Linked DNA regions of Saccharomyces cerevisiae S288C. The protein of the gene in region 1 purifies or fractionates together with the protein of each later gene. This does not show direct contact. Each region holds a gene or a part of one and is shown on either strand. Other genes may lie near its edges.

What was found.
Region 2: the proteins of SUP45 (region 1) and TPH3 purify together in Saccharomyces cerevisiae (affinity purification with mass spectrometry, with the first as the bait; one large-scale study listed by BioGRID). This does not show direct contact.

Annotation. Positions count from the first base shown.
Region 1 is NC_001134.8:527,780-533,778, forward strand, and holds SUP45 (translation termination factor eRF1), read right to left. Parts: upstream 4,404-5,999; coding exon 3,090-4,403; downstream 1-3,089. Other genes in the region: BMT2 (25S rRNA (adenine2142-N1)-methyltransferase), read right to left, coding at 1-259; MAK5 (ATP-dependent RNA helicase), read left to right, coding at 538-2,859; YBR144C (uncharacterized protein), read right to left, coding at 5,456-5,770; alcohol dehydrogenase ADH5, read left to right, coding at 5,983-5,999. UniProt on the Saccharomyces cerevisiae protein: Component of the eRF1-eRF3-GTP ternary complex, a ternary complex that mediates translation termination in response to the termination codons. The eRF1-eRF3-GTP complex binds to a stop codon in the ribosomal A-site.
Region 2 is NC_001142.9:403,681-409,067, reverse strand, and holds TPH3 (Tph3p), read right to left. Parts: upstream 3,481-5,387; coding exon 1,795-3,480; downstream 1-1,794. Other genes in the region: chaperonin-containing T-complex subunit CCT3, read right to left, coding at 1-1,510; MPS3 (Mps3p), read right to left, coding at 4,123-5,387.

The sequences.
Region 1 (5,999 bases):
ATTTGCCGTCTTCATAGTACTTGCCCAGTCTTACATTACCTTTAATACTTAACCTGATAATTTTGTCATTCTTCTCCTCGTTGGAATCATCTAGGTTTTCCTTAAGGCATAAAAACTTGCATATCGATTGACGCTTATTAATTAAATGGTGGAATCTTCTTATTATCCTTCTTGTCTTCTGTGGCTTGATTACTCTCGTCACGTTACTTCCTACTTGCTTCCTCTTGCCCGTAATACTCTTCGACTTTCTTGAATGCATTCCGCTGTATTAGTGGTATCGCTAAGCTGATACAAGATTGCCATCAAGGTCATGGCTAGCTCATCGATATTATAATTGTTATATTTTTTTTCACCTCACAAACCCGCCTCAAGGTTAGTTAGTCCGTACTTTTCTTTTTCTCTGAAAAACTTTTCCAGCGATGAGCTTATAAGAATTTCCATCTAAAAAAGTTATATTCGCCAACCTGCCCATCATTATCATCATAACCTCAGGTAGAAATTCTTTAGTCAAATACCGGCATAATCAGTTTTTCCATCATGGGTAAGAAAAGGGCTCCTCAAAAAGGAAAAACGGTCACAAAGCCACAGGAGATAATTGTAGATGAATCCAAATTGAACTGGAAACCAGTAGATATTCCGGACACTTTAGATGACTTTGGTGGATTTTATGGCTTGGAAGAAATTGACGGAGTGGACGTTAAAGTCGTGGATGGTAAAGTAACTTTCGTCACCAAAAAAGATTCAAAAGTGTTAAAAGATAGCAATAAGGAAAAAGTCGGAGATGATCAGGAATCTGTGGAAAATGAATCAGGGTCAGATTCGGAGTCCGAGCTCCTTGAATTCAAGAACTTGGACGATATTAAAGAAGGAGAGTTGAGTGCAGCATCTTATTCATCATCCGACGAGGATGAGCAAGGTAATATTGAGAGTTCAAAGTTAACCGATCCCAGTGAGGATGTGGATGAGGATGTGGATGAGGATGTTTTGAAAGAAAACGTCTTTAACAAAGACATTAATATCGATGATATTTCTCCTGTAAATTTACCTGAATGGACGAATCTTGCACCTCTCTCAATGACTATTTTGCAGAGCTTGCAGAATTTAAATTTTCTCAGACCTACAGAAATTCAAAAAAAGTCTATTCCAGTTATTATGCAAGGCGTAGACGTCATGGGGAAAGCCTCTACAGGTTCAGGTAAAACTTTAGCCTATGGTATTCCAATTGTAGAGAAACTGATCAGTAACTTCTCTCAGAAAAACAAGAAACCAATATCGTTAATCTTTACTCCTACAAGAGAACTGGCGCATCAAGTCACAGACCACTTAAAAAAGATCTGTGAGCCTGTTCTAGCGAAATCTCAGTACTCGATATTATCTTTGACAGGTGGACTCTCTATCCAAAAACAACAACGTCTATTAAAGTACGATAATAGTGGCCAAATTGTCATCGCAACACCAGGTAGATTTTTGGAACTGTTGGAAAAAGACAACACTTTAATCAAAAGATTCTCGAAAGTAAATACGCTAATCCTTGATGAGGCTGATAGGCTGTTACAAGACGGTCATTTCGACGAGTTCGAAAAAATCATTAAACATTTATTAGTAGAAAGAAGGAAAAACAGAGAAAACTCCGAGGGCAGTAGCAAAATTTGGCAAACTTTGATCTTTTCTGCAACATTCTCCATCGACTTGTTTGATAAGCTATCTTCTTCCCGTCAAGTTAAGGATAGAAGGTTTAAAAACAACGAAGATGAGCTAAATGCCGTAATACAACACTTAATGAGCAAAATTCACTTCAACTCAAAGCCGGTTATAATAGATACAAATCCTGAGTCAAAAGTGAGCTCTCAAATCAAAGAATCCTTAATTGAATGTCCTCCATTAGAACGTGACCTATACTGCTATTACTTTTTAACCATGTTCCCAGGTACAACTTTGATCTTTTGTAATGCCATTGACTCCGTGAAGAAATTGACCGTATACTTAAATAACCTAGGCATCCCAGCTTTTCAAATTCATTCTTCCATGACACAAAAGAACCGTTTGAAAAGCTTAGAAAGGTTCAAGCAACAAAGCGCTAAACAGAAAACAATAAATCATTCGAATCCGGATTCCGTTCAACTCTCAACAGTATTGATTGCAAGTGATGTTGCTGCTAGAGGTTTAGATATTCCGGGTGTTCAACACGTTATTCATTACCACTTACCAAGATCTACTGATATTTATATTCATAGATCAGGCAGAACTGCAAGAGCAGGTTCTGAAGGTGTCTCTGCCATGATATGCTCACCTCAAGAATCTATGGGCCCATTAAGAAAGTTAAGAAAAACTCTCGCTACAAAAAATAGTGTTTCGACGGATTTGAACTCTAGATCAACTAACAGAAAACCCATCAAGTGGCAAAACACTGTGCCTTTGTTACCAATTGAAACCGATATACTTTCACAACTCAGAGAAAGAAGTAGATTAGCAGGCGAACTGGCTGATCATGAAATTGCTTCTAATTCCCTAAGAAAAGATGACAATTGGTTAAAAAAGGCTGCTGATGAATTAGGTATTGACGTTGATTCCGACGAAGACGATATATCAAAGAGTAATTCGGACACTTTCTTACTAAAAAATAAAAATAAAAAAATGCAGAAGACTATAAATAAGGACAAGGTAAAAGCCATGAGAGCTACGTTGAACGAATTGTTATCAGTGCCTATACGTAAAGATAGAAGACAGAAATATTTGACAGGTGGGCTAGTGAATTTAGCTGATAACTTGGTCAAAAAAAGAGGTCATAATTCTATCATTGGTCATGAAAAGACAAACGCCTTAGAAACTTTGAAGAAAAAGAAAAAGAGAAATAATTAATCTCGAGGCTTTTGAAGAGAAACTCTCCTTTCACTGTATTTTCTACGTAATATACACGGTCCTCTAAACCCACTATGTACTTTCAACAAAGGAATTAGCTCAATATAGAGCAAAAGGTTTACCAAGTATATATTATATTGTACAAAAAATTAAAAGCGAATTTAATTTAAATCTGGCATCTAGTGATTAAATTCTTTTTGATTCGATTTTTTTCTCCCCCTTTTATTTATTTAAATGAAATCATAGTCGGATCCTTCATCTTCGTCATAATATTCATCCTCAGATTCATCAACTAGTTGTTCAAAATTAACTTTGTAACGCAGCATGGCACCAATACCACCAAAACCTGTGACAAATTGGGCACCTTCTGAAGATTTGTCTGTGATGAATTCCAAGGTAGCACCGAAGTTTTTGTAGTTAGCTGCTAGCCATTCAATTAAAGGTTCTTCGGAGACAACGTCCATTTCTTGGCCGGTAGCTTTGTCAATAGCAAACGACTTGTCCTTGGCTTCTGGTTCAGCGAATTTTATAACCTCATTATCCTCGGCATCTTTAAATGTATATCTGATAGTTTCCAAATTTTCGAAAACAATTAATTTTTCGACTGCACCTAAATCCAATGCCTTTAAAGTATCATCTATACCATAACAGAATTTACCAGTGTCCTGGGAAATTTCGTCAAAATATGCCTCCAATAATTTCTTTTCTTGAACATACTTGACATTGGCCAACGCTTCGGCAGAAAGTTCGATAGCCTGGTTGAAACCGTTTTCACCACCATAAGAAACATCCACGATGGAAATAACCTTACATGCTAGTCTTGGATCGAATAATTCAGATTTAGCCAAATCGGTCTTAAAGTCAGCAGAACCAGCTAAAATTAAACCCTTAACATTGACTTTGTCATTAGTAATAAAATTTTGAACAGCAACTTCGGCGACCTTTCTCACATAATTATGTCTTTTTTCTTCTCTTAAACGAGCAAAACGAAGCGCAGATTGACCACCTCTACCATGCTTTTTTGGCAGATCGACAGTAAATTTATGTAAAACAGTTCTCGTATTACCGGACACAGAACCAAACAAAGTACCTTGACCGTCCATGACTATAAAACCGAACTTGTCGTCAGCTTGAAGCAATTCCGAAAGAACTTCTGTATGAAATTTGTTATCACACAAATATAAGGATGTGTTGATAGGTTTGTAAGGTTCGATGTCAAAAGTGACCTTTTTTTCTTTACCATCTTCAGTGATGATATCACCACAATATAAAACTAAACCGTTCTTGGGCAAAGTATTATATAGCTTCAACTTTTGTTGGGTGGAAGTGATAGCAGATAAAACGGAAAGACGATTAACCCTAGATTTAATATTCGAGGCAGTACCATATTCATCTGTTAACATTTTTTGGTACAGTGGAATTTGACCCTTAGGAGGAATAACTAAGGAAATCATAGAAGTACCATTACCTCTAGCTTTTTCTAAAGATTGGACCAACTTCTTGACCTTCCAGATCTCAATATTTTTTTCAACCTCGTTATCCATTATTGAAGTATTTCCTTTGTCTATTTCTGTAGTCTTAATAAGGAGACAAGCCGAAATGAATTAAGAAATAAAGGTGTCGTTAAGGCCACACCAACAGTATATCAGTTAAAAATACAGTGATGTATTTCATTGATTTGACGCTTAGCACTGGATTTCTGAAAAAATTTTTCATTCAGGGTCAACGGAATAATCCGGGTAATAAAGACGGCGCTATCAAACGGTATTACTGAAAAATGTACAAATGATGAGAGAGCAAGTGACTTAAGTATTCTTCGTACATGCGGTAGCGACAGATTGTAGTTTATGATCTGGTTATAATACCATGTATAAATTGGAAGGATCTAAGCTAAAGTAAATTATGAATTGAATACTGCCCTTCAAAAATTAGATTTTGACAGGATGCTTTTTAACAAGTCTGTTATCCTCTTCATGGAATCACAAATTTAACCAGATATTTGCAGCAGCTATTGGGGGAAATGATGTAGCTAAGGTCTACCTCATACTGCTCATATCCAGCTTTTTACTTACTTTTCGTTTCAAGGCTCCCATACTATCTATAATGAGTAGAAATATCAGATGACTATGTCATTTTGAAGTTGGTTAGAATTTGCTTTTTGGTTTCGACAGCATGTGCACATTCATCATTGACCTTCGCTAAAGGTAGCGCCACCAAAAAGGAGCAATGAATTGAAATAAAGTTCTCAGTCCTCTACTTGTCCAGTTCTTGGCACATTGTAGAGTCTTACGTCAAATGTTCTGTTGGCTCACATACGTGCTCTTCGTATTTTCCATGAATAACTTCAGCTATTTATGTAAATGACGCTCATACTCTTTATAAATCTGAAAATAAATAGCACGCATATACAAAGTGGATCAAGAGGCGTTATATCCAAACATTTCAGACAGAAGATTATATAATGTAACAGAAAAAGTTTTAAAAATTTTGGAATAAAGGAAAAGGTGGTTGGGGAAGAGAATAGAGCTACAGCAAGTAAAAAGGTGCTTTCCTCGAAGTTGCGTCGAAGATGAATGAAAGTAGTTGCTAATTCTTACTAGCACATGAAAAAAAAGGATATATATAATTTTACAAGTAGTGTCTTCATGACGGATTCATAGTCTATCCAAGCGTTTGCCCAAAATTTTGCAGTAAATTTAATGTTTTCTGTATAGGATAATGGTGCGCCATTCAAGTCCCGCGAAAAATGACTGATGTCTACAGGACAGGGGCGCAATATATGTTCTCTGACATTGCACCTTTTGAATATATCATGTGTTTGTTCTGCTATCTGCTTGTAGAAGGGTACGCTAACAGAGCCGGCGGCATTGTAAAAAGTTCTCCTTTCGCGGAAGGATGAGTCAAAAAGCATGTGACAATGAAATAATCAAATTGTGACATCTGCTGACGCGGGATCGTTCCTTCGTATTGTCTAGATTGTAATCTATATAACATACTACGAATATAAAAGAGGGACTACAAGATATTTCTAGCGCAAACTACTGCTTTACTGTCTCACAATGTCTCTGATTGGAAGATACCTAAGAAAATTATTTAACTACATATCTACAAAATCAAAGCATCATGCCTTCGCAAGTCAT
Region 2 (5,387 bases), on another chromosome or scaffold:
CTTCAGGTTCCCAAATACCGTAACTAACCATATCTACAATTTTCCCCTTGTCACCATCAATACCTGTTGTAAAATTTCCCTGTGCGTGTTTGGCTCTTAGTTGGGATAGGAGTCTAATAGGATCACCACCTGCATTTTGTATCAAAGTACGTGGAATACACTCCATAGCATCAGCTACAGCTTGGTATGGCCATTGCTGGATCCCTTCTAATTGCTTTGCCTTTTCTGCTAATTTGACAGAAACTGCCATCTCGGTGGCACCACCACCTGGGGACAAGGAAGGACTCAACATCACATTACGAGCAACAGCCATAGCATCTTGTAGGTTACGATCTATTTCGTTTAATATATCTTTGGAACCACCACGTAACATTATGGTACAAGCTTTTGGTTCCTTGCAGTTATCCAAAAATGAGAAATATTCGTCCCCAATCATTTCTACTTTGAATAATCCACAGTTTGTACCGACATCACTTTCCTTCAAGTCCTCTACACGATTGACAATGGTTGCACCAGTTACACGAGCAATTCTATTATTGTCTGATTTCTTCACTCTTCTTAAAACACTACATCCACCCTTTAGTAAATAATGCTGTGCTAGATCTGAAACACCTTTTTCAGTGATGACTAGTGTTGGCCTAACGGCTAAAATTTGTTCACACATTAGCTGAACTTGTTCTTCCTCGATTTGTAAAATCCTATTCCAATCTTCCTCCTTTTCAATTTCTATGTTGGTTTGAGATTCACCCTTCTTATATTCTAGTGGACAATCCAAAAGAACAACACGTGGATTCTCTATGTGACGGGACATCTTTGGATGAACAACATCCTTGTTCAATAAGACACCCTTTAAGACGCGAGAATCTAGAACATCCCCCCCAGGAATCTTCTCCACACGGACATATCTTTTGATATCGATTTCAAAATTAGGTTCACCTTCCACAGTTTGTCCCAGGTCTTTACGGACAGTCTTAACAGCGTCTAGAGCTAATTCACACATTTTCTCTGACCAATGTATGACATATTTAGTACCGATAGAGGCTTGAATCAATTTTTTCATAGCGGCATCATTTTCCACATCGACAGGTTTACTTACTTGTTTGATAACTTCTAGTGCATCAGTCAGTGCTTTCTTCAAGGCTTGGATAATAATAACAGGGTGAATATTTTTTTCAATCAAATAAGGTGCACACTGAGCTAAAATCTCACCAGCTAGAATAATAACTGTTGTAGTCCCGTCACCAACCTCTTCGTCTTGAGTACGGGATAACTCCAACATTGATTTAGCTGCTGGATGTGCAACATCAATTTCCCTTAAAATAGCGTGGCCATCGTTAGTCAACACAAGACCGCCCATAGGATCCAATAACATCTTTAACATAGCTTTTGGACCTAAGCAAGTTCGAATGACATCGGCAACTGCCTTTGCAGCAGTGATATTGGAGATTTGGGCCTGACGACCGGTAGTTCTCTCTTGAGAAGCATTCATAAATACCACTGGAGCTTGCATTGTGGCTTATATCACTATTGTACTTGATGATTTTCAACGTATGATCACTCGATATTATCGATGCTTTTTTGATATAATGCTCTCTACTCACTTTATTGAGTGGCGATTTGCTATTTTTTTTTCTTCGCACCATGCGTCACGTTAAACGAAAAAGTTTAGTATTAGGATGGAAGTATATAATATCACATAAGATTATATCAGGGTATATTTGGCTATACAGAAACTGTACCACAAATATATACACTGTATGTAAGTTTTTGAGATGTGGCTATATATGCGAAGAACTATGCAATGGGCGAAGTACTTGCGACGATAGGACGTTCGCACATAGAACTTTTGTATTCATGGGCGTTTACTTGCAATTGATTCATCATATTAGTCGTTTCAGAACTAACATTGCTTTTATCACTCAATGAAAATTCCTTCACAGAATTATCCTTGTCACTCATGCAATTAAGTTTAGAGTGATCCCTCGTAGTATTATACATGCCCATTACATCACTAAAGGTCCTGAAGTTGAGTTCTGTGTTTCTCTTGGAGACTTTTGTCATTCTTTCTTGCAGGTAGCTAGAAAATCTTGACATAGTTAAAGCCATAGTATCGTCAGTATCTTTTTCTTTCAAAGGATTAAATTCCTGGGTCATCAAATGGGCAATCTCCTCTTCAGCAAAATAATCCACTGAGGGCAATTTAGGTAATCCAAACATTAACGAATTTATATCGGTTCTTTCTGTCTTGAATTGAACTGGACGCCCATAAAGTCTTGCACAATCCATCAAAGGAATAATGAACCTGATCATTGCTTCCAGGTGATGTACGCCATGATGGGGCAATGGCCTAATCAAAAGCCCATTTGTACGTGTAGTGAAGTTAGTTATAGGCTTTTTTGTTGATCTAGAAGTTAACGAACTTACATGGGAGCTATTTCTTCTGTGCCCTTTAGGTGAAAAGAAAGTTCTACTTTTTGGTGTAGTGTTAGGACTTTCATTATTCAATGCTGTCGAGCTGCTGTCACCACTGCCGTTGTTTGCACTACTATAGATGGATCCACTATCCACCACATCATTAAAGTCCGTATCACTGCAAAAGCGTACATTACCAACGAGCTTTATCATTTGCAACCCTTGAAAAAAGTCGTTCATATTTTTAGAAGGTTCTGCCGCATTGATGTTATAAAAGAAAATATCTTGAACGTACTCATTGTCAGGAATAAAAAAAACGCAGTTCTTGCTAGATGTGGATTTGTCATCTCTATAAAACCGTATTTGATACTTTCCTTTAGCATCATTGTCACTACTACTTTTAGAATTATTGGTTTTAGACACTTTATCAATATGACACCACACTTTCACCCAACCTTGACCATCAAGATAAACTTCACACCAATCCTTAAAATTGAACGGCGAGTTCAAAATGATATGCATATCAGACATTCTCAGCCCATAAGAGGAAATCACTGTGCCTGTCAAGGCCTTATATATAGAAATGAACTCAAAAATAGAAATCATACACAACCTTTTGAACTTCTCCAGTAAACCAAAATCGTTACATGTGATAGATAGTTGGCCATTATTGAATTGCAGGAACTCTCCAACGCTTGAAATTTCACATTGGTTTATGTTGGAAGGGGAATCTATGATGGCCACGTCTGCGACTTGTACAGAGGAATTTGTGATAATTATATGAGAGCCGAGCAAAGAAATTGACTCTGCTTCAAAAACATGTCCAGAAGAATCCTTAACATTCCATACAGCCTCAGCGTCGGAAGATTGGAAGTAAATCTTATTTGCGTGTGCTTGCAGAAGCTTAAATATAGGTTTAGTGATGCTGAAAAGCTCTGGTGGTAATTCGAGGAAGGACCGTGAACTTACTGGGTGGCTACTTAAATTGATGCTGGTAGCACTGCGGGAGAATTTGGGGAGCGAACTCTTGATATTAACAGGTTTTTTCAGCGAGTCCAAAATGCCCATTTTAATTTTTTTTGTCTCTTGCAATAGAGTCGTGTTGTGAAAAAAATCTAAAGGCGTTGAAGTTACGTTCTGAGATACTTTTAAAAGACCTGATGATGATAAATATGCCAAGAATATAGGAACTTAGTTAAGCCTTCTTGCTATGTTATTTGAAACTAAAAAAGATGTACGTCAATAATAAGTAAACGAAGAAAATGGAAACGAGAGCAAAAAAAAACTTGTGATAGAAATGAATGAAAAGGGCTGAGTATTGAAACAAAACCAAGTCCTTTATGCTATGTCTTAAAATTTCCCTTTTTTACCTTTTTTTTTTGCAGATATTTCTGATTTTCATTCAGCTTTTTAAGTAGGGAAAATTTCCCGCAAAACTGCACGAAAAAAGATATTCCGATTTCCAAACGACTGCAGTCTTAAATAGCACGAGGAAATTTCCATGAGCTGTTAATCGCAGAGCGTGAGTCCACGCATGGGAGCAACATCTGAATGCCGTGTGGCTGTGTTCAAGGTTGGAATTCAGAATAACGCCAGTACCGAAAGAGAGTGGTGAGTAGCTGATTAACTCTATGATTTAAAGGGAGTGCCGTCAATCTGCGCGATTTTCTGGGGGCCAGGGGGTTAGAACGTTTAATTTTTTATTGTCGTTTATTGATCTAGCTCATCTTGGCCAAATGATGGGACGTTAGAAGCGGGATGAAACTTGGTACTAGTAGATGAAGACGCGTAAGGAGGCTTTGATAGGAGAACTTTCCTCTTGCCTTCGTCGGTGTTCTGAGTGACACCATATTCTGGGGTGTCACCCAGTAAAACAGGGAACTCGTTATTTTCAATTATTTGCAAATCCTGCGGTGTCACTCCGTTGATGATAAATTTCCTCAGAGATATGAACTTTTTGTTCCCGTAGTTCTCGTCCACTTGAAAGACAATTGAGCGTACGAGTGGTTTTAACTGAATGAACCATGGGGGCAGATACATTTGTTGGCGTATTCTAGAATCTGTCAACCTGTACTCAAATTTTGCGATCTTGATGTAATTTCGGTCTCTCTTGTGATGCTGCCCGAAACCGTATTGATTTGCCAATGTCTGCAATGCTTTGATCTCTTTAGTCTGTGACAGTTTTACATATAATGAGATCAGTCTTGGTGCTGAGTTCATTATATGTAGGTTATTAGTAAAACGGCCATGCATGTACGAAATTTTGGTTAGATACAAAGGAGTTTTAAACCTTATGGCCCATGAACACCCAGGTTCGTTCTCACATTGCCAGTAAGTTGAGGAGCTTTGTTTGGAGTCGGTCAGTAATTCTATCGGCTGTACCCCACTGCCCTGTCTCCAGGTTGGTGAAGTTAAATGGTTCAATAGTTTAGTACCTTGAACATAAGTAGCAAAATCTAAATCGTCCTCCCATTGGTGTTGATTGGAATTGTAAATTTGGTGAATTAATCTTTTCATTAATATGCTCGAATACTGCTGTGGCACGTTAGAATAATCCTGTTGAACCTGCTGCTGCTGCTGCTGCTGCTGTGTCTCTAACCTATTTGTGATCTCTTCCCAAATCTCCTGTTTGTTAGATTGCAACCTTCTGTTCATTTCTTGGATGAAATAATCCTTATCGATATATTGCAACTCATTCGAAAGAATTTCCTTTACATAGCGATTCAAATCATACTCCCAACGACTTTCAGCGCTTCCAGCAGTACCAATGCCTGGAGACTCAATAACGTCTGAAATCAAAGCACTCAAATAATTGTGCAATTCAGGGATTATTAAAAGCGACGAAGAATTATTAATTACAACGGGTATTTCTTGAGGGAGGTGTGTATCCAACTGTTTTACCAGTTGATCTTGCCATTGAGTAACATTCTCGACCGTAAATTTGTGATTTCGCCTCTGTAACTCACTCATGGAAG